2 linked regions of the Pelodiscus sinensis genome follow. The protein of the gene in region 2 interacts with the protein of the main gene of each other region in a pairwise test. Links are inferred from orthologs where the notes say so. Each region holds a gene or a part of one and is shown on either strand. Other genes may lie near its edges.

Evidence for each region.
Region 1: the proteins of SPRED1 (region 2) and HPCAL4 interact in binary tests that used the Homo sapiens proteins (3 or more experiments, as listed by UniProt). The link is inferred for Pelodiscus sinensis from reciprocal best matches to the Homo sapiens genes SPRED1 and HPCAL4.

Annotation. Positions count from the first base shown.
Region 1 is NC_134735.1:2,532,275-2,544,429, reverse strand, and holds the start of HPCAL4 (hippocalcin-like protein 4), read right to left. Parts: upstream 6,007-12,155; 5' UTR 5,850-6,006; intron 1-5,849. UniProt on the Homo sapiens protein: May be involved in the calcium-dependent regulation of rhodopsin phosphorylation.
Region 2 is NC_134714.1:58,050,969-58,063,896, reverse strand, and holds the start of SPRED1 (sprouty-related, EVH1 domain-containing protein 1), read right to left. Parts: upstream 5,928-12,928; 5' UTR 4,805-5,927; coding exon 4,773-4,804; intron 1-4,772. UniProt on the Homo sapiens protein: Tyrosine kinase substrate that inhibits growth-factor-mediated activation of MAP kinase. Negatively regulates hematopoiesis of bone marrow.

The sequences.
Region 1 (12,155 bases), on a different chromosome or scaffold from region 2:
GAGACAGACGAGCTTCTGCTAATGGCACGATGTGCTGGTGTCCTTACAGACACCTGCTTTGCACCCCACTCTGCCCTCCATGCCTGCCTCATCCTGGTCTGTTCATGGCTTCCCCAGGACATCCTGTTCTTTGCGCCAGGCTAAGGCTGAGACATCACCATCATCACCAACACCACCCCCCAAATGCTCATCCAGAATGAGCGCTTCTCTTTGGTGCCACCAGCACCAATTACAAGCCCCCAGTTCCAGGGTGGGACTCGAACCTGCAGCCTTCTGTCTAGAGACGTGACAGAGCCACTAAGTACCCCGGCCCAAGCCACAGCCATTTGGCCATGGATTTCAGTGACGATCAGAGGCCGAACCAGGCCGTGGGAATCGCAGGCCGGTTGTTAAGTCTCTTGGCTGGGATGTTAATTTGTGTCCTGGAGACCGTGCAGCCAGGCATGCAGGGAGGGAGCGCGCCCCGTGAGCAGAGCTGGCTGGCAGAGGGACCCTCCCACCCCGCACAAGAGAAGGTGCGTCAGGCGTGTTCTCCTCCAGCGAGTCGCAGCGCTGGGAGTCGAGAGCTGCCTGTTCAACCGGCAGAGGTCAGGGCCGGGGAGAGATTTCACTGGGTCCTGTTTGGGGATGGTGCCAGAGCGGCCCCACTGGGATCGCCCCCTTGTGTTCAGTCCTTGCACTGGGCCAAGTCCACCCCCACCCCAGAATCTCACTCTAGTGCAGCCCAGCCCCACTTTGCAGAGCACGTGCTTCCAGGACACGGCTGCTGACGGAGCACAGGCTCTACCCAGCCCTTGCCTTTAAGGCCCCCCTTGGACCTTAGCCAGTGGCCCAAGCGAGGTGACGTTTGCACTAAACCGGCTGGGCCCAGGCTTGAAGACACGGGGATTCAGCAGCCCCTTCCGGGAAGGGAAGGCAGAACCCCAGCAGCTGCAGGCTTGGCCCTGACACTGGCTGAGCACCCATTCCGGGGAGCTGCTAGCAGCATGGGACAGGCAGGGATCCAGCCCTGGCACCAGAGGATGCAAGTTTACTCAGCTCGGGGGGGGGGGGGGGGGATCTCCCTCAGGGCCGAGCTGCACCTCACAGCTCGTTTACCCCGCCCTGCGGATGGAGGTTTGGTTGCTGGCCTGGCTGGCTCCCACCCTTTCACCGCACAAATGGGCTGCAACAAAATACCCCGGCCTCCGAGTTCTTGCTTTGCCAGGGGCCCTCCAAAGCTTGGCAACTGATGCCCTCACCATCCCAAAATAGTTGCAGCCAGTCCCTCCAGAACCAAGGGCCCCAATTCCTGGTCTCCGACATCCCTGCCCAGCGCAGCCCCGGCTGCAAGGGGTGGAGGCCGAGTGGCCCCCAGCGCTCCCCTCCCCCCAGGCCTGTTTGTGCTCGTGCCGAAGGGGAGGGGGCAGGGACAGACTCCTCATTACCCTGGTACATCTAGGAGCTGGTGCTGAGGAGTTGCCATGGCGACAGCTCCACGGTGGAGAGCCGGTTGCCAACAGTAGCAGCATCCCCGAAGCGACCGGCCAATTCTTCCCTGCACCTTTTGCTTCCGCAGGCCTTTGCGTGGCCGCCAAACCCCACAGGATTAAAACGGATTAGAGATCTCCCCCCTCTGGGGAAGAAAGGGAAAGTCATTGTGGCTAGTGGTTCCCACGTGGGGCAAAGAAAAAAATCAGGGTCCATCTCATCCCACAGCAGGGTGTGTCCCGAGACTTGGTGTAGAGCAGGGATGAGGAACCCTTCCCTGGGCCGGGCCAGCTGACCCACAGAGGAGTCAGTGGGGGAACATGAGTGAGAAGCAACACAGCACGAGACACCCCGAGTGAGAAGCAGAAAGACACTCCCCACATTCCTCTCACCACCTGGGGGGCCCAGGCTGGGAGACTGTTCCAGCCCTCCAGGAGGCTAGTGGGGGGTACTGGAGCACCAGTACAAGCTCCTCAATGCTAGGGGAGCCCCAAACCTGAGGACCAGATCCAGCTCCCAGCTGGTAGGTTCCCCTCCCTGGTGGGGAGTATTTGACTTTGGAGATCTTAGGCTCCCTCCCATCGAGTTGTCTGCACCTTTCGCTCTAGAGCTGCCTGCCCCACACTTCCAGGAAGTGGGTCCCCTGGGCCTGAGGAGGAAGATCAAGTGGGGCAAATTTGGCAGCACTTAATGTCACACCCTGCATGCCCAGCAGGGTCAGAGGAAGCTCCCTGCATCCCACCTACCCCCACCCCCTCATGCCAAGGCTCAGCCAGCAAAGCTCAAAGCTTAGATGCTGGTACTGTGGCTCCGCAACCAGACCCAGTTAACAAGGGGGGGGCTCTGTGAACCAGGAAACCAAACGAGTCTGCAGGCCTGGGATGCTAAGAGGGCTGCACGCGCTCAGCAGGACTGGCCTGGGCCATCTCCCAGCTTGGCCCCGCAGTGAGAGATGCCACCTTGCACGTGCAGTCTTGTGAAACGATGTCCCAATTCCTTGTACTAGTAGAGTCCGAGTGGTTTCTGGTGGGGACTGAGAAGTCAGTTAAATATCACACCCCACGTATTAGATGGGGTTTCATATCCCTAGTCAGGATGAGTGTAAGTGCTTAAACGGGATCCCACAGGCCAGGGGGCCTCCAGACCCACTGGGCTGGAACAGCCCCCAGGTGTGGGGTAGGGGAGCTGCTCCAGCTACCCAGTAATGGTGATGCTTTCTGGTTAAGCATGGACACCCCTAGCCCTGAATTCGGGTCAGCCCCTTTCTTCCCACTTACAATACTCCCCACAATGCTAATCAGAGCTGAGACCACACCACACGGCTGGGATCCAGGCCTCCGCTGTCCTTGAGACTGCGCTGCTGGGACGTGCTAGTTCCATCTCCTCACCACATGCCCCAATTCTCCCATCTGTACAATGGGCAGATGCCAGTCTGCCTCCGTTTTCCTCCTCAAGCCTGGCACAGAATCACAGTGTTCCAACCCAGAAGCGGCTGCATTCCAGCTGGTAACGCTGTTTAAAACTCTGCAGTGCTGTGGGCTGAGCCTCTCCACTCATGCAGCCCAAGGATTTGCTAGACGCAAGAAGCCAAGCACCAGAGTTATTCTCTGGGACTCACATGGTGCAGGGAAATTCTCCCTTCTGCTGTTTTCCTGACTTGCTGCAAAGATTTATTATTCTGACCCTCACAGCATGGCCTGGCTACAGCTGTTCTGCTCCCCCAGTGTCCTCTGACCCCCACAATCAGAGGGGGTTTCCTGGGGTCCCTCTGCCTTCCAGTTTGCAGGACTGCATCCTCTACAGAGCACCACAAGTCCGACTGATTCTAGACACAGGCAGCTCTCCAACTGCTCCAGAATTAATCCTTTGTGCTCCTAGAGTAGGCAGGGTTTTCCTGGTGCACCAGCCACGGCTACAACCAAAGGCAGAAAAACAGCCGGGCACCAGGTAGGGTCCCACCAGCGTGCAGGGACAGGAAGGATGGCCTTCCCAGCAGATGCACACAGGGCCCCATGGCAGCCGGAGTGACCACGCTTTGCATAAGAGAACAGCGAGAGCTGTGAGGGATGCCGTGGGGAACGGTTGTTATTTGCATGGTTGGGGCAGAGCCAATGCCCTAGGAGCAGCAAAAAAGGGCCCTGAACCTGTAAGGGGAACGTGTGGGCTGGGGCAGAGGGGAACGCCAGTCACAAGCCAATGCCCGTGTAGATCACACCTAGACAGTTACATGCACACAGGGAAGGGTGGGTGTGATGTACTGTCCGTGGGGTGAGTGGCCCTTAGACCACTACCGAGAGAACAGTGCGTTTGCTCTACAGCCTTAGCACCTAAGATGAGTCACTAAGTCTCAAGACTAAGCATCAGAGGTCCCAGGTTCAGTTCCACCTGCGCCACACTGCTCAGTTTGTGCACTCATCCATTGTGTGTGCGCAGAGAGGAGTGTGGGGACACAGAACACTTACACACGGAGGGATGCTGAAAGCCTCAGATATAGGACGCCATTTGATGCCATCGAGTTCATGCTCCCTGAATAATTTTAGGAGCCAGGGGATAAAAGGCATCCCTGACTGGGATAATCCCATATCGTCCCAGGAATGGGAGGGAATCTCGATCCCTGGAACAAGGAATGAAGTGGAGACCTTCCCGGTGGCCTGAGCTGGATGAAAAGAGCTGCCGAATTATTTACCAGATCCCCACCCAAGCTGCCACGCAAACAGTTAAAGAACCATAGCAACAGATCGGTGCAAAACCCAGAACCGCAAGACATCGCTTGCGTGCCGTGTGTGTTCCATTGTGTGTACACACAGTGTACTGTCCACACAAGCACCGCGCATGCCTAGTGTGTGTCTATACCCGCATGCAACACAGCGATGCACGCACAGGCTGACATTCGGAAAGGGCTTCTTCATTCCGTGGGCTGGAGCGTGCTGTATTGTTAGTTTTCCGTCATGCGGTGGCACTTTGTGAAGGTTCTCCGAGAAGGAGAACCGCCTCCCCCTCCCCCCTGCCTGCCTCCAGAGTTGTGATTGGTAGAAAGATGACCAAACCTTAATGAAAACATGTCACCCCACGAGCAGCGCCTAGACAGCAGGGCACAGTAGCTATTGCAAGCTGGAGGGAGGGTGGGGGAGTAGGGGAAAAACCCGACAAAAACAAAACCCATGGCAGGCACAAACATCCCCTCTATTTTTCCCCCCATCCATGTGCAGAATCATTTGTTATGTGCACTGAGGCACGTGCAGATGTGCCCCACCAGGACAAACACATGCTGCCAGCAGTGGGCGCTCTGTTAATCAGCTGGGCAGCATTTCAGTCTCTCTGGAGTGGCCGGCAGGCCAAGCGCTCAGCTTACAGGGAACGGTGGCAGGCAGCCTGGTGGGGTGAACCCCTGGGGAACTGACTTGTTCTTGGGACCGAACAGGGGGCTCTGGACTGCAAATCCCTTAGTCCTCCGGAGGGACCGGCCTCCTGCACTGCAACACCGCCACTCACGAGGGCCAGTCCCAAACCCTCTTACCCAAACTGCCGCACAGGAGACTCACCAAGACCCCTCCCACACACAGCCACCCCCAGCAGTGACAAGATGGCTGCTTTGAGGCTAGGGGAGAGCACCGAAAGCTCTGGTACGCATAGGGACTAGATAGACAGTAGCAAGTGTTTGCACCCACTAATGTACATGCAGGAACAGGTCTCTACAGCCTCCTTCACCCCCCCCCCCCAACAATGAAGCATCAATTCAAGCCACCCTCATCCCCCACATGCACTCTGCTGGGCGCCGCAGCACCACCCGGTCCTGCTCCCGGCCACACAGGCCTGGAGGCAAACAAAGGGAGGGGGGGGTCTCTGCACACACCTCCCCAAAGACCTTTGGGGGGGTTGACTGAGGTTGGGTTTGGAGGGCTCCCCCAGGCTTCCTGCCAGACCCCCCCCAAAGAGCCAGGCCAACCCCCACCTCCTGCCCCTCTGCCACTTCCCAGGAGCAGCAGGGCTCCCCATCCCTGCTAGCCCCACACGGATTTAATAAGATGAGGCACGAACCCTCCACCCCCACCCACGCCGTGTGAAACTTTGCAGGAGGCGCAGCACAAGTCCTGGGCCAACGCCAGCCCAGGGCAACCTGCACCGGCCGCCGGAGCTGGCAGCAGCAGGGCACGTGAACCAGAGCCCCAGTCTCTCTGCTCCCCCTCGGGAGAAGCTGCGTAACCGCCCCCCCACACACCGCCCTTTGCAATTGATGCTCCTTCTCCAGCACCTGCCCGGGACCAGCCGCAGCTGAGCAAGGGCGGCCGGAGCTACCCCCCGGAGAGCGCCAGCTGGCGGCTCGGACCCACTGCCCCCCACTCTGCAGGGAGCCCCGCTTGGCCCCCGGCCCCCCTTACCTGGGAGGCTGCAGGGGGAGCTGCCGGGTCTCTGTGGCCCAGCGAGGTCGCGCGAAGCCGCTTGCTGCCCATGCACCGGCGAGAGCCCCGCGCTCGCCACCTGATGTGCCCGGGCGCCGCGTCGCCCCCGCTCTTGTACCACTAGGTGCCCCGCCCCCTCCGCGGGGAGGCGCCCGATTGGCTCCGCCGGCCGGCCGATTGGCAGAGGGAGGTGTCACTCAGCGGGGCGGGCTACAGGTGGGGCCCCGGAGCGAGATCGCGGGCTGGCCCGCGGGCCGCGCTGCATCCGGCCCGCGGGGCCAGTCCTGGCTTTGCTGGGGGCGCTGCTGAGAGCGATCCACGCCCCGGGCTTAGCAAGGGGGGGCTGGGCTCTGCCTTCTCGACGATAAGGGCTGGGGGCGGTAGCAGTGGGGATGGGAAGGGTTAACCCGTTAATGGGGGGGGCTGGATCAGCCCCTGCCTCTGGCGGGGGGGGGGGGGGGCTGCTCCATCTGGGCTGGAGTCCCCCTCCTCCCCCCGCTTGCCCTCCTTTAAACCGGAGTTGGGGAACCTACGGCCCGAGGGCCGGATCCGGCCCCCGCCTTGCCTCGGCGCTCCCCCTCCAGCATTTGGGAGCTGGTACTCCAGCTCTGCGGGCCCCCTCCCACCCCGATCCCGCACCCCCACTCTGCTCCTGCACCCTCCCTCCTGCCCAGAGCCCACACCCCAAGCCCGCTTCCCAGGAGCCCCCTCCCACACAGCGAACCCCTCATTTTTGGCCCCACCCCAGAGTTTATGGGGACCACAAAATGTATTAGCCCCAGCCCCCCTAGGCTCTGTTGTACTAGAGGATTGTGGGGGGGGGGGGTACTTCTTGTGTGCAGCTCCCAAATGATTTTTCTGTGGGTCAGCAGCCCCTGTCCCAAAAAAAGGTCCCCGCCCCTGGATTAAACAATATGTTACACCAGTTATTTGACATCCCTAGTATGCATGGCCCAGGATTCAGGGAGATGTTAAGCTGGGTGAGGGAGATACCTTTCATGGGACCATAAGACCAGCCAGACTGGGTCAGACCAAAGGTCCATCTAGCCCAGTGTTCTGTCTGCCGATACCAGATGTCCAATGGGAGGGAAATACAACAGGTAATTCTCAACCCTCCTCCCCTGTAATCCAATTCCAGAAAAACAGAGGCTAGGGAACCCATTCCTACCCATCCTGGCTAATAGCCTAACCTCGATGGCTGTGTCTACACTGGCCACTTATTCCAGAAAATCAGCCACTTTTCCGGAATAACTTGCCAGCTGGCTACACTGGCCCCTTGAATTTCCGGAAAAGCACTGACGATCTACTGTAAGAAATCAGCCGCTTTTCCGGAAATACTATGCTTCTCCCGTTCGGGCAAAAGTCCTTTTTCCGGAAAACTGTTCTGGAAAAGGGCCAGTGTAGACAGCACAGTAGTGTTTTCCGCAAAAAAGCCCCGATTGCGAAAATGACGATCGGGGCTTTTTTGTGGAAAAGCGTGTCTAGATTGGCCACAGACGCTTTTCCAGAAAAAGTGCTTTTCCGGAAAAGCATCCTGCCAATGTAGACGCGCTTTTTCTGGAAATACTTATAACAGAAAACTGTTCCGTTTTAAGCATTTCCGGAAAAGGGTGCCAGTGTAGACGTAGTCCATGAGTTTATCTAGTTCTTTTTCCAACCCTGTTAAAGTGCTGGCCTTCACAACATCCCCTGGCGAGGAGTTCCACAGGTTGGCTCTGCACTGTGTGCAGAAAAACTTCCTTTGGGTTGTTTTAAACCTGCTGCCAACTTCTGGGGTGGCAGAGCAGAGCTTTCTAGCCCACACTGAGCTCTTCTGTGGGCAAGACTCCTGGCAGCTCCCCCACACGTGCTCCTGCTCCCCCACTGCAGCATCCCATGCCAGAGCCAGTCAGGGGAGGAGGGCAGCAGGGCCATTTGACCTGGGCCTCAAGCTCACATGGGACCTCAAATTTAGACACCTGTTAATCTTTTAGCATTTGGTAAGTTTTGCAACTTGTTTTTATCCGCATCCCTATGGGACTGAACTGGGACCTCCTCTCTCAGGCTAGCAAAGCTTTTGTTAAATAAAAACATTGTCAAATTATGTCTCGCTCTTTTTTGAGGGGCCTTATTTTGTTCCCGTGGGCCATTCCTATTGTTGCAGTGGGGCCAACGGCCATCCTGGGCCCAGGGGCAAAGTGTGGGGGGGCCTGCTCCACACCCCCCGGAGGGCAGAAGAGGCGGGGCCCAGGGCAGTCAGTCCTTAGTGCTGTCTGGAGCACGGTGCGGGGCCCTCCCCTCCAGCACTCAGTGCTCCCATGGCAATTTAAAGGAGCCTGTGGCTCCAGCTGCCACGGCTCCTGCAGTTGCAGCTGGAGCTCTGGGCCCCCTTGAAACGCCAGGGCTCTGTGCAATTGCCCCCTTCCCCACCAATGTTCTCGCTAATTTTCTCTATCTATGTGCGCAATAAATTTTGCAATGTGCACCGAGGCATGTGCAGATGTGCACCACCCAAAGAAACACATGCTGCCAGCTGTTGGGGGCTTTGGGCGCTCTGCTAATCAGCTGGGCGGCATTTGAATCTCTCCGGGGCCGTCACCCAAGCGTTCAGCTTACAGGGATCACTGTTCTCCACTCCCACTGACGAGGCTGGCTAGGGGGCCTCCAAAGCTGGATGTGGTCCATGCCTCTCCGGACCTCTGAGCGGGCCTGTCTGATGCCACCAAGGACTGTCCCAAAGTGCTGCAGGGGGGAGCAGAAATCTCCACGGCCATGGACTAGCTCTGCCCAAAGCAACCCCAGGGGGGTCTCCAACAGCCTGTCCCTCCTGCTGGCCCAAGAGGTTGCCCGCTGGAAAGCAGCACCCTGCGCTGACAAGAAGCCAAAACTCAAGCTAATCCCCTTTCACAACAAAGCCCCTAAAAGACCCCCCCCCTTCCGTCCCCAGCACTCTCAGTGACAGCCCTCCCCACCCCCGCCAGCGTGCAGTCTCTCCCCATTGATCCTGCTTGCCTGGAGGCAATAAAAAAAAAAGCGGCAACAAGCTACAAGCCCCCCCCCTTCCCGAACATGCTCCCACCCCCGCCTGCCAGGACGTCTCCCTCTGTCTGCCTGGGCCAGCAGCGCCACCTGCATTCCTGGGACATGGCATTCAATACTCCAAAGGGCTAACACGGCGAGCCGCGTCTGGGGGGAAGGCCGGCAGAGACAGGGCACCCCTCTTCAGCAATTACACGCTAGTGACCCATCTGGGGGAGCATGTGACCCCACATGGTCCCCCCGTGCCTCGGCAGTGAACCCACCGGTGGCCTTAGTTACAGGCAGTGGCTTTTATCAAGTTACTTTGTTAGCAAGGTAGATGCCTCTGAACCGCATTGCTCATCCCTGCTACGCCTGCAAAGTCCGGCTCCGGCATGCACTGGTGCAGCAGAAAGTCTGGGGTGTTGCCCCACGGTCCTGGCCAGGGCGGTCTAGAGGGGAATATACAGCAATAAACACAATTCCTGTTCATCTGCTGCTGCAGGCCTCACCAACCCTTCCTGCCTCCTCCCACCCTTCCTCTAGTGCAGAGCCGGCAAGAGGCATCTGAAGACTACGGTCAGGTCTGCGCGCGCGCGTGTGTGTGTGTGTGTGTGTGTGTGTAAAAAACAAATGACAAAGACAACAAATTGTGTGTGTGTGCAAAAACAAATGACAAAGACAACAAATTGTGTGTGTGTGTGTGTGTGTGTAAAAAACAAATGACAAAGACAACAAATCCAAATTCACTGTCAGACTTTACCTAAATCCACGTCCCACCACATTAACATCATGAAGACGCAGAATCGTCCATGGGGCCGTGAGCTGTGCATGAAGCGGGAGCATCTCTCTCTATTTTCCGCGGCAGCCTGCACCTGACAGACGCCCTTACGGCGCTGGGTGTAAAAGGGACATGCGTGTTCCGACCTGATATGTCGCAAGGAACGTTTTACTTCTGCAAAACAAATGCACGCCCCTGGGCATTTTTAATATTGTTTGAACTTTTCCTCGTTCACGTTCGAACAGGTCATACAATACTTTGTGTAAATCTCCAGGACATGAGACTGGAACCTGGAGCAGGGCCAGGAATAAGGAACGGGGCCAGATACGGGGAAAGCGACCGCACACGCCTCACGCTCCCCTCTCCCAGTGACATCACAACTGCTGCTCATTGGAGATGGTCGGGGAGGTGGGTATCATAGGCAGGGGGAGGTGTTGCCTTCCCAAACTGCCAGCCTGGCCCCGCCCACACTCCGCCCCTGAGCACCTGCCCTCCCTCTGCTACAGGGCTGGGGAGGCAGGGCCCATGCACCATCCTCTCTCCCCATGGTGCTGCTGGGAAGGGGGGTGGCTTGGCTCCATGGGGAGAAGGGGCGGGGCTGAGGTGGGGCTTAGGGTTTGCCTCCCCCAGCTCTACCTTCCCCCACCGCCCATGGGGATGGCTTAATTATGCCAACAGGGGAGTTCTCGCCCCGGCATAGACTCCACAGGGGACCTGCCCGCGGCGCCGCTGGAAGGTCTCTAGCGTCGACAGAGCCGAACGGGGCGCTCTGGTTTTGCTTGTTCATCTAAGAACGTCATGTTTTAATACTGGGGGGGGGGGGGATATTCCTGCTTAGGTTCCCTAATTGGCTCGCACCAGCGAGTCTGCCCTATGGCTGCCCTTTCCTGAGCCAGGCCCATGCAGTGTGACCCAGGCAGGCCCCGAGCGCCCTGAGGTCAGGAGCGTTGAGAGTGCCCCTCGGAGTCACGTTCTGGGAGCTGTTCCGGGCTGGGCCTGTCACCTTGCCCTGATTTGCAAAGGCCTCCGCCCGCCACTCCCCGGAGAGCCGGGGGGCCGCACCCTTTGGCTCCAGGAAGCTGGATGGGAGCCACCGTCACAAGCAGCGGCCGGGCAGGGCAAGTCGCACTGTCCCGCTGCAGCGAGGGCTGCAGAAGCTCATTGGCACAAGTGCCAGGCCCCCCCGCCCCAGCCTGGGGCGTGATGGAGACAGCCCAGCCAGCAGGCCCGGCGGGGGCATGTCAACAGCTTTGCCCTCCGTCACCAGGGAAGTGCCAGTCACGCTCAGTCTGCTCTCCGCACCCGCCCTGAAAGCCGAGCTGGCGAGGAGGCCGGGATTCCAGTTCGGCTGCTCGGCGCCTCACGCTGCGGCCATCCCCGCCCCCCCATTCCCCTGCGTCCGGCCCTTCCGCCTGCTCGGGGATGGTTTTGAACAGGCCAAGGTGCATTGGCCAAGGCCTCCTGGGCTAGAGGCGGTTCTAGCTGAGTCCCGGCAGGGCCCTGCCCCGCCCAGGAGGTGCAGTGCTACGTTAGCAGCTCAAGGTCAGGAGTGATGAGCGGGGCAGAGAGTAAGGGGGAACCAACCCCGAATTGAAACGCTGCTGCCAGGCCGGAGCTGAGTGCGTGGGAGGAACCCACAGACGGGCTGGGGAAGATGGTCGGCCCCCCGCCCCTGCTCCAGGATCGCACACAGCCGGTCATAGACGCGGCGATGCTCCAGACGGCCCGTTTGCCTCCTTTGTTGTTTGGTACGACTGCCTCAGCTCCTGGATTTTCACGCAGCCCTGCTGGGCAGCCCTGGCGTGGCCTTTCTCCTCCGTGCCCTGTGAGACCGTGGCACAGAGAGCTGCCCTCCTTTGGCCTTGCGAGAACAGATTCCTCTCCCTGCACAGCAATGAGATCCACGCTGGCGCTCGCCGGCGGCCACAGGAACTCCTGAAGCTCGTGGCCAGCTGTGCGGCTCGGAGGTCTGCTTGCCACGCTGGCCACACGGGGAATGAAATTCACATTTTCCCAGGGCTTCTCCTGTGCACCCGGAGAGCAGTAGAGTTCATAGTGGTGGCCAGAGTGGATGCCACAGGGCACTGTGGGACACCTCCTGGAGGCTAACAACATCGACTTTCACAGCCCTGCATCTGCACTACCGGAAAGTGGACCACGCAAGCCCCGACTGAGTGGTCCCTCCCCCTGAACTCAGCAGCACCGGAATCGACTTCAACGGCCCGTAAAGTCGACGGAACCGGCTGTGGTGGCGCAGACTCACTGTTTAGAAAACTGGCCGCATGCGGCTGAGTCCGACCGACGTTCCCGGGGTAGGCCAGGCCTAAGAGGGCAGCCGGTAGCTCTGCTTTACCTTCGCAGCGGGAGGATCATGCTCGATGGACACACCCTTTCTCCGCAACCTGCCTGCCCCCTTCCTGCCCTGGGGAGAGAGCAGCTTAGGTGGGGAGGAGCAGGACTGCGGAGAAGAAAACCAGAGAGACACAAAACGATTTCAGAAACAAATG
Region 2 (12,928 bases):
TCCTAGAATAAATGTTTCTAGGATATCATAACCAAGAAACGCTATTAAAGCAGACCTATCAATATTTTTCTCTTAACTTTTCAAATTATGTAACCTGAAATTCATTTTCCCCTCAGAGTAATAGGTAGGACATAACACCAAAGTAAAGCCCATGACACAGCCATTAAAATTGGAATGGAATCTCCACAACTTCAAACAATGCCCCAGAAATAAATAAATTATAAAATGGCAGTGACAATCTAATTAGCAAACTCAGAAGGGACACTATCAATTTACATTTTTTACAGTTTCTCTCATATATACATATACTGTATGTGTGTGAGATTATACACACACACACACACACACACACACACACTTACTTCTCTTAATTTAAGGTTTTTTGTATAAAAGTGACAGATTTCAAAAATCTAAATTCATTTTTTCTATATAGGGTGTTTGTTCAAGCTGCAAAAATGCATTTAAAAAAATCTAACAACTAACACTGAAAAAGAACTAGTTAGTTTCGATTCCAGGGTCAAAGTCTTATATTAGTTCAATCATTCTATATTTTGGCTGGAAATAAAAGGAGATACTTAAAATGTATTGATGATACAGTACTGCAGTTTTATTTTGAAGTTCTAGGAAAATATTTTGCAGGACCTCATTGTATTTTTAAATATCCACTCTAGTTTTGGGAGATACACTTGACTCAACATTTTCCCCTCCACACTTAATAGATCGGCCAGCTCTGCCATGACATGATTGATATCGCTGTTCCTTGTCAAATTACAGGCAGCAACGTATCTCTGTTATAAAAAATTCAACTGAAATATTTAACAGGCAAAAATACATGACTCTATAGTTAAAATAAATGAGAATGCTATATGAATTTAAGATCATCTTTCATCCAGAACTTACAAATCAGAGCCTAAATGTGCAAGCCTACCGTATGCACAAATGGTCTCCAAAACTGAGTTCAGGAGAAACAGTAAAGAGGACTTGCAGAACCATGGACCACTTCTCTTACTAAGGGCAACCTGGAACTAACATATGCAACAATAGGAAATAATGTGAAAAATCTGCCAGTAGGGTGTTGCTTACTTTTGGACGAATGGGTCCCAAAATGTAATTGTATTACAAAATTAGTATAATAATTCCATCCAAGCTTAGTGGTTATTTATCCACATTAAAAATACAACTCTATTTTAGTTGTCATAGGCAGTGTTGACTTCCAGATATTATAAACACAATAAGGAGGGTTGAATTGGCCCAATAAAATATATTACCTCACCCACCTTCTCTTTCTCTTAGTAGTGAATTTGTTCTGTTCAATGAAGGCCTGATTGTGGAATTATTGGGGGTGCTTCTAGTCAAGAAGAGATGTACACACAGGCAAGAATCAAACTTTGTAAGGTACCTGTTCACATAATGCTAGTATGAGATATGCATAATTAGCTTATGCCCATGAGCATCAAGAAAAATCTTCACTCTTCCACTATACCAAATGACAAAAAACAATCATGTTCTTTTTATTGTCCATCACCCATGTCAAATTGTCATGAAAATGTGTCAGCCTAGCACAGCACATACACACACGCACAAAGTATTTGTTCATGCTTTACAACAAGATGAAAATTAAAACAACAACAACAAAAAGACATACCTAAGGAAACTATTTGCCCAACTACAAAATTCCTGTCCCTCGTAAGCATAATTTTGTAATGCTAACCTTCTACATATTCGTTTAAAAAAGCAAGGAGTGACATCTGATACCGCTTTTAATTTTCACAGCCTTTTATTTCACTGATATCATTTACAGTGATACAAAATATCCTTAGATGAGATCAAATGTTAAACAAGTATATAACCCAATCCTTTACTCGTTCTGTAAAATTTTTTTTAATACAGAGTTTTGCATGCCAAAAAAATAAATGACCCAGCTTTCAGCATAATTCTCAGTTACACTGTAACAAAATGTCTTTCCAAGTACCCGTATTTGCTTTTAGGTGATGAGAAATTTGTAGATTAATACATTAAGGCAATAATTTTGTTCACTCCTCCGTTGCTCTGTGAAAGACATACACAAACAGGGAAGTAGTGAAACCAAGCAATGTCAAACCATAAAGCAAATTGGAAGTTTTTTCAAATGTTTCTGTTACAATAATGTCTGAGTACTATCTGCAACCATAGTAGATAAAAAGCCTGTTCACATAGAAAATTTTTTGAATTGACAGTGCCTTACAAGTTTTTAGATTAGTCATCTGTTTACATTCAAACACCTCAGAAAACCAAAAATGGTCTCAAACTGTAGATATCATAAGTATTGAAATCACTCAAACACCATTCTCCTGGCTTTTTAAGAAAATTCCCCCAATCCCTTCAAAATGTCTCTCTGCCAACTAGGAATTAAACTAGCCCAATAATATATGTATCATCATCATCACAAAGATTTTAACACAGCAACCTACCTAGTATTTTTTAACAAAAGATTCAGGTAACCAAATGCAAATTGTTTTCTGCTGGTTAACTTGAATCCAACAACTAAGTTTCCTTGAATATTTGATTTTTTTAAATTGAGATACTCAAAAAATGTTTCAATGGACTAATTTAAAAATTTAAAACAGCATCCTTCACATTGGTTCTAATTTTTTTTAAAAGAGTACTGCTCCTCTGATATTTAAAAAGACTTTTCAGCAAGAGGAAAAAAGTCTAAATATGAAAGTGACTGTACATAAGTCCTGTAAAATTCATAAAAAGAAAAATCTTTCCTTCTCACTGATTTTTTATTTTTACGACGAGACATTACTTAACAGAAGTTACACCATTTTCTGAAATGTGGTTTTCAACATCATATTAAGGTTTGACTTATTAAAAACACTAGTATCTGTTATTCCATGTTGCAGAAAGAATATAGTACAAAGTAATTTGAATTATTGCTATGGGAACTGGCAAATTAGTTTGTCTTGAAAGCAATGCAAGAAAAATGCACTGGTGAATTTGGTTTTTCAGTATTTCATTTCTGATTCGCTGTTTCTAAAGATGAAATTACTCTAAACATGCCTTCCCACAGTACATTTTGAAATGTAATGAAGTGATTTCTGGATTATCTTCTCTTTGAATGCAATTTTTATTTTAAAAAAAAACAAAGAAAACACAACAAGAAAAGGTAAGTTTATCCATGATCCTCAGAAATAAGCAGTCTCTCCTTCCCTTGAATTCTGACAAACCTCGTCTCTCTCTATCCAGATCTAATCTGCAACTCTGTTCAGAACAGACAGTGTACTGCAGTGTGAATGGACAGCCAGGTAATTTTATGAATGGAGCAGATCACGTGCTCGCAGCACCTCCCCGAGCTGATATTTCCCACATAACTCTGTCAACAACCAATTTTTTTAAATCAAGTAGTCCTGGAAATCCTAATGTTCAAACTTCCTACAATACTCAGACTGTTGACGTGCAGGAAAGGCCTATACAATTCACACGGCAGGTCTTGTTGAATGTCAACGGTGGTGTTTTAATTTTTTTTTATGAATGGAAATTGTGGTATGCAAATTAGAACGATTCACAAAAAAGAAAACATGGCGACTGCTTCTGCCTCGTTACACTGATACTGGAGCAATTCACCTTCTAAACCACTGCAATGTAACATTTCGTGCTTTACCTACTGTAGCTTAGGATTTCTCAAAACACTAGTTATTCAAGTTTGAAATTTAATCAATGTGTTAAAAAGAAAAAAATATTTTCCTTAACGATTTTCCTTTCCTTCCTTATATCTTAAGGAATGCTTTATTTAGCGGAATGCCTGTAAATGGCAATCTACCTGCACTACCAATGACACAGTTTTGTCATATAAATGACAAATGAACTCGCTATTTAAAATACATTTTAGAAAGCACAGGATGATTATTTTCCATCACCAAGAGTTGAGTCTGCACTATGACAAGCCACATCATTCGTAAAACGAATTCCAGCAAATGACTGAATTGCAAATCATTATTCTGGAAAAGATTACATAGCCTCTTGCAGACAGAGGCACTGGTAGTAACCCTCATGAACTTTATACCTTTACACGTTTCTGATAAAGACTGAGATCAACATACCTCTAAATACTTTGCACTTGTTTTTAAACGCCACAAAGGGACTATTTACTAACAGAATATTATTTCTTCCCTTCCACTCAAAATGTAAATATCATAGACTAAAAGCAGTAGGATAAATATCTAAAAATCGCAAGAGGCGGCCTGACTTCGTCCAATCTCGATATATTAAAACTGTAAGAGACTCGCCCTCCCTTTACCCAAGAGCTCATAACTTCAGGGAAAAGTTTAAACTTTATTTACATTGACTGACTCATCCCATTAAAATTCAACAGCAGTTTCCTGCAGGATGAAGCTCCCACACACTAATTTCCATGTGAAACATCTGTGAGATAGGATTTGACCCTAGGCGGCATGTAGAGGAGGGAGGTGCACTGTTCGGACATTAAACCCCCACCTTTCCCCAAGTTCAACACACGCCGCCGCCAGTACCTGGCCACCTTTCTGTCATGTTGTAATTGCACTACACAAACACGGAGACTGGCTCCCGAGCTTTATGAACAAACCCCTAAGACACAAAAAGAGACCCCAGTGTTTCCATAACACAGACAATCCCTACGCGCAATACACACATAGGTAGGGCCACAGACCATCCGACAAGCCAGAGCAGTCCTGCACGGAACTGCCCAACGGTAGAAGCAGAGGAGGCAGGAAGCAGAGGGGTCAGAAGAAGAGTAACAAATATTTGCTTACTCGTTGTTAGAAGTCGCCGTCTCTTCGCTCATTTTTTTCCTCACCGTGATCCGACAGCGAGATGGAGCAGCAGCACCGACGCAGCCAGGGCGCAGCAGGAACTCACCAGAAACCTCACCATTGTTAACCCCCGAAGCTGCCTCTCCAACGAGAACAACAGTGAGGGGCAGCGGCAAGTCTTTTATCCCAGAGCCGCAGGGACCCTGCTGTCCGGCACTGGAGCGCAGCCCCCTGCCTCAGCGACGGTGGTGGCCGCAGCTCCTCTGGTCCGGAACGGGCACAGGCTGGCGCTGGTGGAAGAGGCAGGCTCCCAGCTGCAGTGAACTCCGCGCCGCTGTCCTCCCGCTGCAGCTCATCTCCCGCTGCAGCTGCCTTCAGCGCCCTCCTCCTCCTCCTCGCCGAGCGGGCTCGCCCCTCGCAGCCAGCCCCGGGGCAGCAGGGAGGGGGAGCAGCCACAGAAGAAATTCCTCCAAACAGCCGCGTCCGCCAGCCGAGGGGGAAGGGAAGGGAAGGGGGCGCGCGGGGGGAGGGGGCAAGTCACGCACCCCACCCTCAGCCAGCCACAGCCCCGCGAGCAGGGGACAAGCCCGGGGGTGGGGGCGGCGCGGGGAGGCGCTGCGAGGGGGGAGGGGGCGGCGGGATGCGTCACGGCTGCTTGTGTGAGGAATGGGGGGACGCAGGGGCCAGCGGGCGCCCCGCGGAGGGGCGGAAGGGAGAAGCCCCCAGCCGGAGCCGGCGAGAAGTTCAGCAGCCGCGCTCCATCCCCGGCGGCAGCAACTCCATTAGCCGCAGCCCCGCGCTCGCCTCCCACCGCCTCGCAGGAAAACTGGGCGGAAGCGTTGACTTCAGGCTCCTTCCGCCGCCACAGCTTGATTCCAAATAACCACGGGCGGGTGGGGGGCGGCAGAGAAAATAATCCCTTCGGCCCCCTCCACGCCAGCCGCTGGAGAGGCCTGCCGCGCGGCCCCGCTCGGCGCCTCCGGGGCCAGCTTAGTGGCGTGAAAGTAGTTCCTTCCCCTCCACTCGTTTCCCAAGGAGTTGTCAGCGGCACACACTCACGGAGGCGCGGAGGGATCTATAAAGCACTGCACTCGACACCCCCCTTCGTTTCGTCCCTGTGCATGTGTGAGAGAGAGCGCGAGCCTGTGTGTGTATGTGCGCGTGTGTGTATGTGAGGGAGAACGGAGGCGAGTAAGCGAGAGAGCTGGAGCTCCTGCCTGCGAGATCTGGGAGGGTGGAGGCCCAGGGAGGTTGCAGGGTTGCAACGCAGCCCTTGCACACAGTGCTGGCAACTAGCTTCCAGTCTTGCAAAGTTGGATCGGACAGTTCTGGTCTCTTCCTGTCAGGGCTGGAGTCGTTTGCAGGCAGGGAGGCTGCTCTGGTGCCGCACAAAGCGTGTGCATGGCACACACTCATCTGTTACTCTTCATGTAAAGTGCTGCCACACTGCAAGGGGGCGGATCGGGTTAATGCACGCAGCGCTAGTGCTGAGGTTGCATTGCTGCACCACAAAACATTGAATGGTATACATCTAGTGCTGCCGGGCTACACTGGATTTGCTTCTGTTCACGAAGGAGGGAATGGTTAATCTGTAAGGAGCCTGCTTCCATGGCAGGCAATGGGATTTTTTGCCATTGAGTTCAGTGGGAACAGGATGCTGCTCCGGTTCCATGCCAGTAACTGCAGAACTTGCTCATTGCATGCATTAATCTATTTGCCAATACAAGGAATCAATATACCTTCTGTAAGCCTGATCCAATGCTTTTCTGTCCAATCATTTTTTTTTTGGAATGCACGGATTTGTTTCTGACATGCTTGGAGGGGGGTTGCTAATAAGCATGAGGTGTAAGATTGCAGACATGGAGGAATGTGAGAAGGGATAGTGTTTGCCGTCAAAGGTTGAAGCGTGGCCTGACACACTTCAAACAAATGCCGTTCCTTCTCCAGTACATGCAAGAGGCCCGTGACTGCAATTTATCATTGCTAGCAGCGTTTACACAGACACATGCAAAGTGTTTTTAGAGAATTGAGTGTTTCCTCGTTAAATTCTCCTATAGGCTTGACGGGCTTCTTTACCAGCATGGATAGCTGAGATATCAGCAAAAGCAGTACCAAAGTCTCTTTGTTTTGTCCTAGGGAGGAAGGTGACTAGAAGAAAACAGAACTGAATTTTTAACAAAGTATGTTGTCAGTGTATGTAACTCTTTCATGTAATTCTTTATTGTTGCTGCTTTTATGAACAAAGATAGAAGAGAAAATCTAAAAACATGGTTAATTTACTAAGTATGTGCTATGCTTGACTTTATTCCATCCAGTTTAAATTCTTGTGGATACACTATCCATAAAATGCACTTTACTCACAGTAACCTTTAAGTTTTGAAGAGAGCCCCCTTTGCAATTAGTTTTTTAATCATGTAAATCTGGAAGCAGTTTACTGTGCTGTTCCATAACACAGTGTTGTAGTAGCTGTGTTGATTCCAGGTGGGTCAGGTAATATCTTGTTTTTGGACCAACTTCTGTTGATGAGAGAGAAAGAGAGAAGCTTTCGGGCTGCATGTGAACTTGAAAGCTCATACCTCTGACCAACAGATGTTGTTTCAATAAAATATATTACTTCACCCACTTTGCCTCTCATGAAAAATATATGGAACGCAGACTTGACCTCCTCTCTAAAACAAATGCACAATAAAATGAAAGCATTTGTAACTATTCTAGGATAGGTAATACAGGAGGCAGTGGCTAAAACCCAGACTAAACCCTTTTCAGAAGCTTATACAATAGACATGTTACTATAGAAGACTTCTTTGCCTGATTTAACTGAAAATAGAGATATAGTGAAATATGCACTTGAAGGTTATCTCCCTCTCTTATATTTTCTTATCTACCTCCCTTACACATATACCATGTTTCCAGTATATTTTTGTTTTACTTCAAACAGTTTCTTACTAGCCACCTTGGGTAGCTTAGGACAAGCTTCTCTTTCTCAGGGGCATGGTACCTTTTGTGTTCAAGATTCAGCAATCGCTCCCAGACATATTTTTGTGAGGAACTGTCCTTAAAGCAGTCCAAGAAGATACTAAGCAGTCCAAGAGTAGCACCTAAAAGCTTTGTCATGGACCAGGACTCAATTGTGCTATGAGCTGTACAAACATAGCAACACAGATGATCTATGCCCCAAAGAGCTTACACTTTTATTTATTTGTACCTTCTGTCAAGGAAGTTAAATAGACCCATTTTTATCTAACATAGTATGATGTAATCATGCAAAAAGGTCTTTCTTTTATACATATTTTAAGTTCCTTATAAATAGGCCTGATAGAAATTTTGTGTGTATTTAAAAAGAGTTTTGACTTAAATATCATGGAACAATTACAGTAACTGCTATTATCCTTTTTCTGATAATGGCCTTTAACACATATCTCAAACATGCAATAATAATATTATCTTCTCTTGCTTAGAAGGATGATAAGAACATTAATTAGTAATTGTTTTGTAAAAACATAAGGCATTTACAAATATAATAATTTTAAAAATATTCTGTCCAAAGAATAGATCAATCATGTGGCACAATTCCATTTCAATATATAAAAATACATCCAACAGCCAATTTTTGTACAAGATTTTTTACAGTATAATTAGGGCTTCTTCTTTGGGATTTATTAAATTCATTAGAGGTATTTTTAGTAATTTTAAAACTCTATTAGATGTCTGGAAATGATTTTTATGTAGATATAGATGTCCAGAAAGGAGTTTTGGGGCTTCCTCTTTGTATATATTGTAATGAATAATCTCTTAATAATGTTCCAAATGCTCTTTTATGTAGTGCTGTTTTGAACATTAAGGCAAAGTGGGGAACGTGAAGCGCACACCAGCAGAGCCTACATGGACCAATTAATGTGCAACAAGATAGCGTGCTTTGGAAATCACATTCCCACAGTCTGCACTACCGTTTCCAGTATTCACTGGATAAACAGCCAATTCCCATTTTCTCATGGGGGTGCTATATAGGTATTTGTCAGTTAAAACAGAAAATCAGAAGCCCTAAATATAATCTAGAAGAACAAAATAGTTATTCGTATCACACCATTTGTGAGAAAGGAGGTAAATATTTTTATTCTGAGCCACAGACAAAAGATTACCTAGTTATCTAAGTGAGAGTGTTTTTCAGTTTACTTTCTGTTTTGAGACTGGCAGATAATGTGATTTCCTGTTAATTTAATCTTTGTTTTATACTGGTTTCAAAGTTTAAATGGCTAAGATCCTGTAAATTAATAGTTTATAAAGATAAGTTGATTAATATGTTTGAGTACAAGAAATGCTCAGGAATCAGTTCATTTTGTCAGATGATGATATACTTCTATATATATATGTGAAAGAAAATTTAAAATCAAATGAAGTAAAAATCTTAAATGAATCAACATGTTCCATAGATCTGCTATGGATAGTAATTCCCTGCTGTAATAAGAATATAAGAGTAGGGATCTATTATTGACCACCTGACCAGGACAGTAATAGTGATTATGAAATGCTAAGAGAGATTAGAGAGGCTATCAAAAAGGGGAGAAGCAATTCTCGATTTAGTCCTGAGTGGCACGCAGGATCTGGTCCAAGAGGTAACTATAACAGGACCGCTTGGAAATAGTGATCATAATATAATAACATTTAACATTCCTGTGGTGGGAAGAACACCTCAGCAGCACAAATTGTGGCATTTTATTTCAAAAAGGGGAGCTAAGCAAAAATGAGGAGGTTAAACAGAAATTAAAAGGTACAGTGACTAAAGTAAAATCTCTGCAAGCTGCATGGACAATTTCAAAGATACCGTAATAGAGGCCCAACTCAAGTGTGTACCCCAAATTAAAAAACACAGTAGAAGAATTAAAAAAGAGCCACCGTGGCTTAACACCCATGTAAAAGAAGCAGTGAGAAATAAAAAGACATCTTTTAAAAAGGGAGGTAAATAGACAGGAGCATAAATACTGCCAAATTAAGTGTAAAAATGTAATAAGAAAAGCCAAAAAGGTAATAACAAAATGTTTTTAAGTACATCAGAAGCAGGAAGCCTGCTAAACAACCAGTGGGGCCCCTGGATGATTGAGATACAAAAGGAGCACTTAAAGACGATAAAGTCATTGTGGAGAAACTAAATGAATTCTTTGCTTCAGTCTTCACGGCTGAGGTTGTTAGGGAGATTCCCAAACCTGACCCGTCCTGAGGACTTGTCACAGATTGAAGGGTCATTAGAGGAGGTTTTGGAATTAATTAATAAACTTAACAGTAACAAGTCACCAGGACCAGGTGGCATTCACCCACGTTCTGAAAGAACACAAATGTGAAATTGCAGAACTATTAACTATGGTTTGTAACCTATCCATTAAATCAGCTTCTGTACCCAGTGACTGGAATATAGCTAATGTAACACCAATATTTAAAAAGGGCTCTAGAGGCGATCCCAGCAATTACAGACTGGTAAGTCTAATGTCAGTACCGGGCAAATTAGTTGAAACAATAGTAAAGAATAAAATTGTCAGGCACATAGAAGAACATAATTTGTTGGGCAAAAGTCAACATGGTTTCTGGAGAAAGAGGTAAACAGTGAGGTGGTAAAGTTTGCAGACGATACTAAACTCTGCTCAAGGTAGTTAAGACCAAAGCAGACTGTGAAGAACTCCAAAAAGATCTCACCAAACTGAGTGATTGGGCAACAAAATGGCAAATGAAATTTAATGTGGATAAATGTAAAGTAATGCACATTGAAAAAAAATAACCCCAACTATACATACAATATGATGGGGGTTAATTTAGCTACAGCTAATCAGGAAAGAGATCTTGGCGTCATCGCGGATAGTTCTCTGAAGACGTCCATGCAATGTGCAGCGGCAGTCAAAAGAGCAAACAGAATGTTAGGAATCATTTAAAAGGGATAGAGAAGAAGACGAGAATATCTTACTGCCCTTCTATAAATCCATGCTATGCCCACATCTTGAATACTGCACACAGATGTGGTCTCCTCATCTTAAAAAAGATATACTGGCATTAGAAAAGGTTCAGAGAAGGGCAACTAAAATGATTAGGGGTTTGGAATGGGTCCCATATGAGGAGAGATTAAAGAGACTAGGACTTTTCAGCTTGGAAAAGAGGAGACTAAGGGGAGATATGATAGAGGTATATAAAATCATGAGTGGTGTGGAGAAAGTGAATAAGGAAAAGTTATTTACTTGTTCCCATAATATAAGAACTAGGGGCCACCAAATGAAACTAATGGGCAGTAGGTTTAAAACAAATAAAAGGAAGTTGTTCTTCACACAGCGCATTGTCAATCTGTGGAACTCCTTGCCTGAGGAGATTGTGAAGGCTAGGACTATAACAGGGTTTAAAAGAGAACTAAAATTTCATGGAGGTTAAGACCATAAATGGCTATTAGCCAGTATGGGTAAGGAATGGTGTCCCTAGCCTCTGTTTGTCTGAGGGTGGAAATGGATGGCAGGAGAGAGATCGCTTGATCATTACCTGTTCGATTCACTCTCCCTGGGACACCTGGCATTAGCCACTGTTGGCAGATGGGGACTGGGCTGGATGGACCTTTGGTCTGACCCAGTATGGCCATTCTTATATTCTTATGTTCTGTTTTGATCCAAATGCAGCAGAAACACAGGTTTATGAAATAGAAGAAAATACTTGGAAAGGTTTTTACAGGTTTTTTTTTTTTAATGTTTCACTGTGGTAGTTCATGAGATGAAACATTTGCAGAATATCATGAAGACACAAAGAATTTCAGTTAACTGCAGCACTCTAACCATACCATAATAGTGAAGTAGAACCTATATCCTTTTAAACAGGAGTATTCTAAGGTGTGTCTTAAGAAGAAAATGAGAGTTTGCACCTTGCATCTTTTTATCTAAGGGTACGTCTTCTACACTGCACAGCTACCAAAATAGCTACTCTGCGTCTTCACAAGCCACCCATTATTTCGAAATATTTTGTCATCCCGGTAAACCTTGTTGTATGAAGGATAAGGAATGGCTAGAAATAGTGCGTTGTTTTGAAATTTGGCGCTGTGAAGTGCAAATATCAAAATAGCCTATTTCAAAATAGATTCAAAATTATATATGCAGTTTCCATAGTGCAAATTGCATATCTCATTTTGAATTTAGGGTGCTGGGTAGACGCACTGCACTGTTATTTCGAGATAACTAGCGTTAACAGCCATTCTGTTATTTTGAAATAATTTTAAAATAACAGATGGCTTATTCCGAAATCTGTAAACCTCATTCTACAAGGAATAATGCCTATTTCAAAATAGCTATTTCAAAATAATGTGTGTGTAGATGCTGCATTGCTGCTATTTCAAAATTGGCCTTGGTGAAGGGTTATTCTCCTCCCCAGTGCCTCCTGGGGCTCTAAATTGAGATAGCATGGCTACATTAGAGAAGCCTGCCTCAGACTAATTTTAAGGCTTTCCTGCAGTGTAGACGTGCTATTTCAAAATAAGCTATTTTGGAATAACTATTCCAGAATAGTTTATTTCAAAAGAAGCATGCAGTGTAGATGTACCCTCAGTGTCACAATCAGTAACACCAGTTTCATGGAAGAGGTAGGGGATTCCATCTCCTTAGATGCCTCCCACCATTTCTTCAGCTAGCTATGCCAGCTCTACTGCTGGAAACAGATTCTCCTATGCTAGAGAATCTGTACTAAGGGTACGTCTACACTACAGCGTTATTTCGAAATAAGCTATTTTGAAATAGTTAATTCAAAATAAGTTATTTCGAAATAACGCGTCTATACACAAAATGCATTTCAAGATATCATTTTGTCTCTGCATACTCTGGTTGCCCTCACTCAGGACACTACAGCACTCTGCAACATGGAGCCGGAGCCGCCCCTGGGCATTCTGGTGCTTCTCGTGGATGCGTTGCTGCGAGCCTGGCTGCACTTTCTGCAGGATGCCATCTGGGAGGTCTATCGGGGGGCTGTCAGTATCCAGGAGGCCCTACGGGAGAGCTTCCACCCTGAGGAGCACTAACAGTCTCCCTTGTCTGCACTACTGGGGTCCTGTGCCTCATTCCTCCCTCACGTCCTTCCACTTACTCCCCCTGCCCAACCCCTTTCCTTATGTAAAATAAAATACATGTATTTTCATGAACACAAACTCT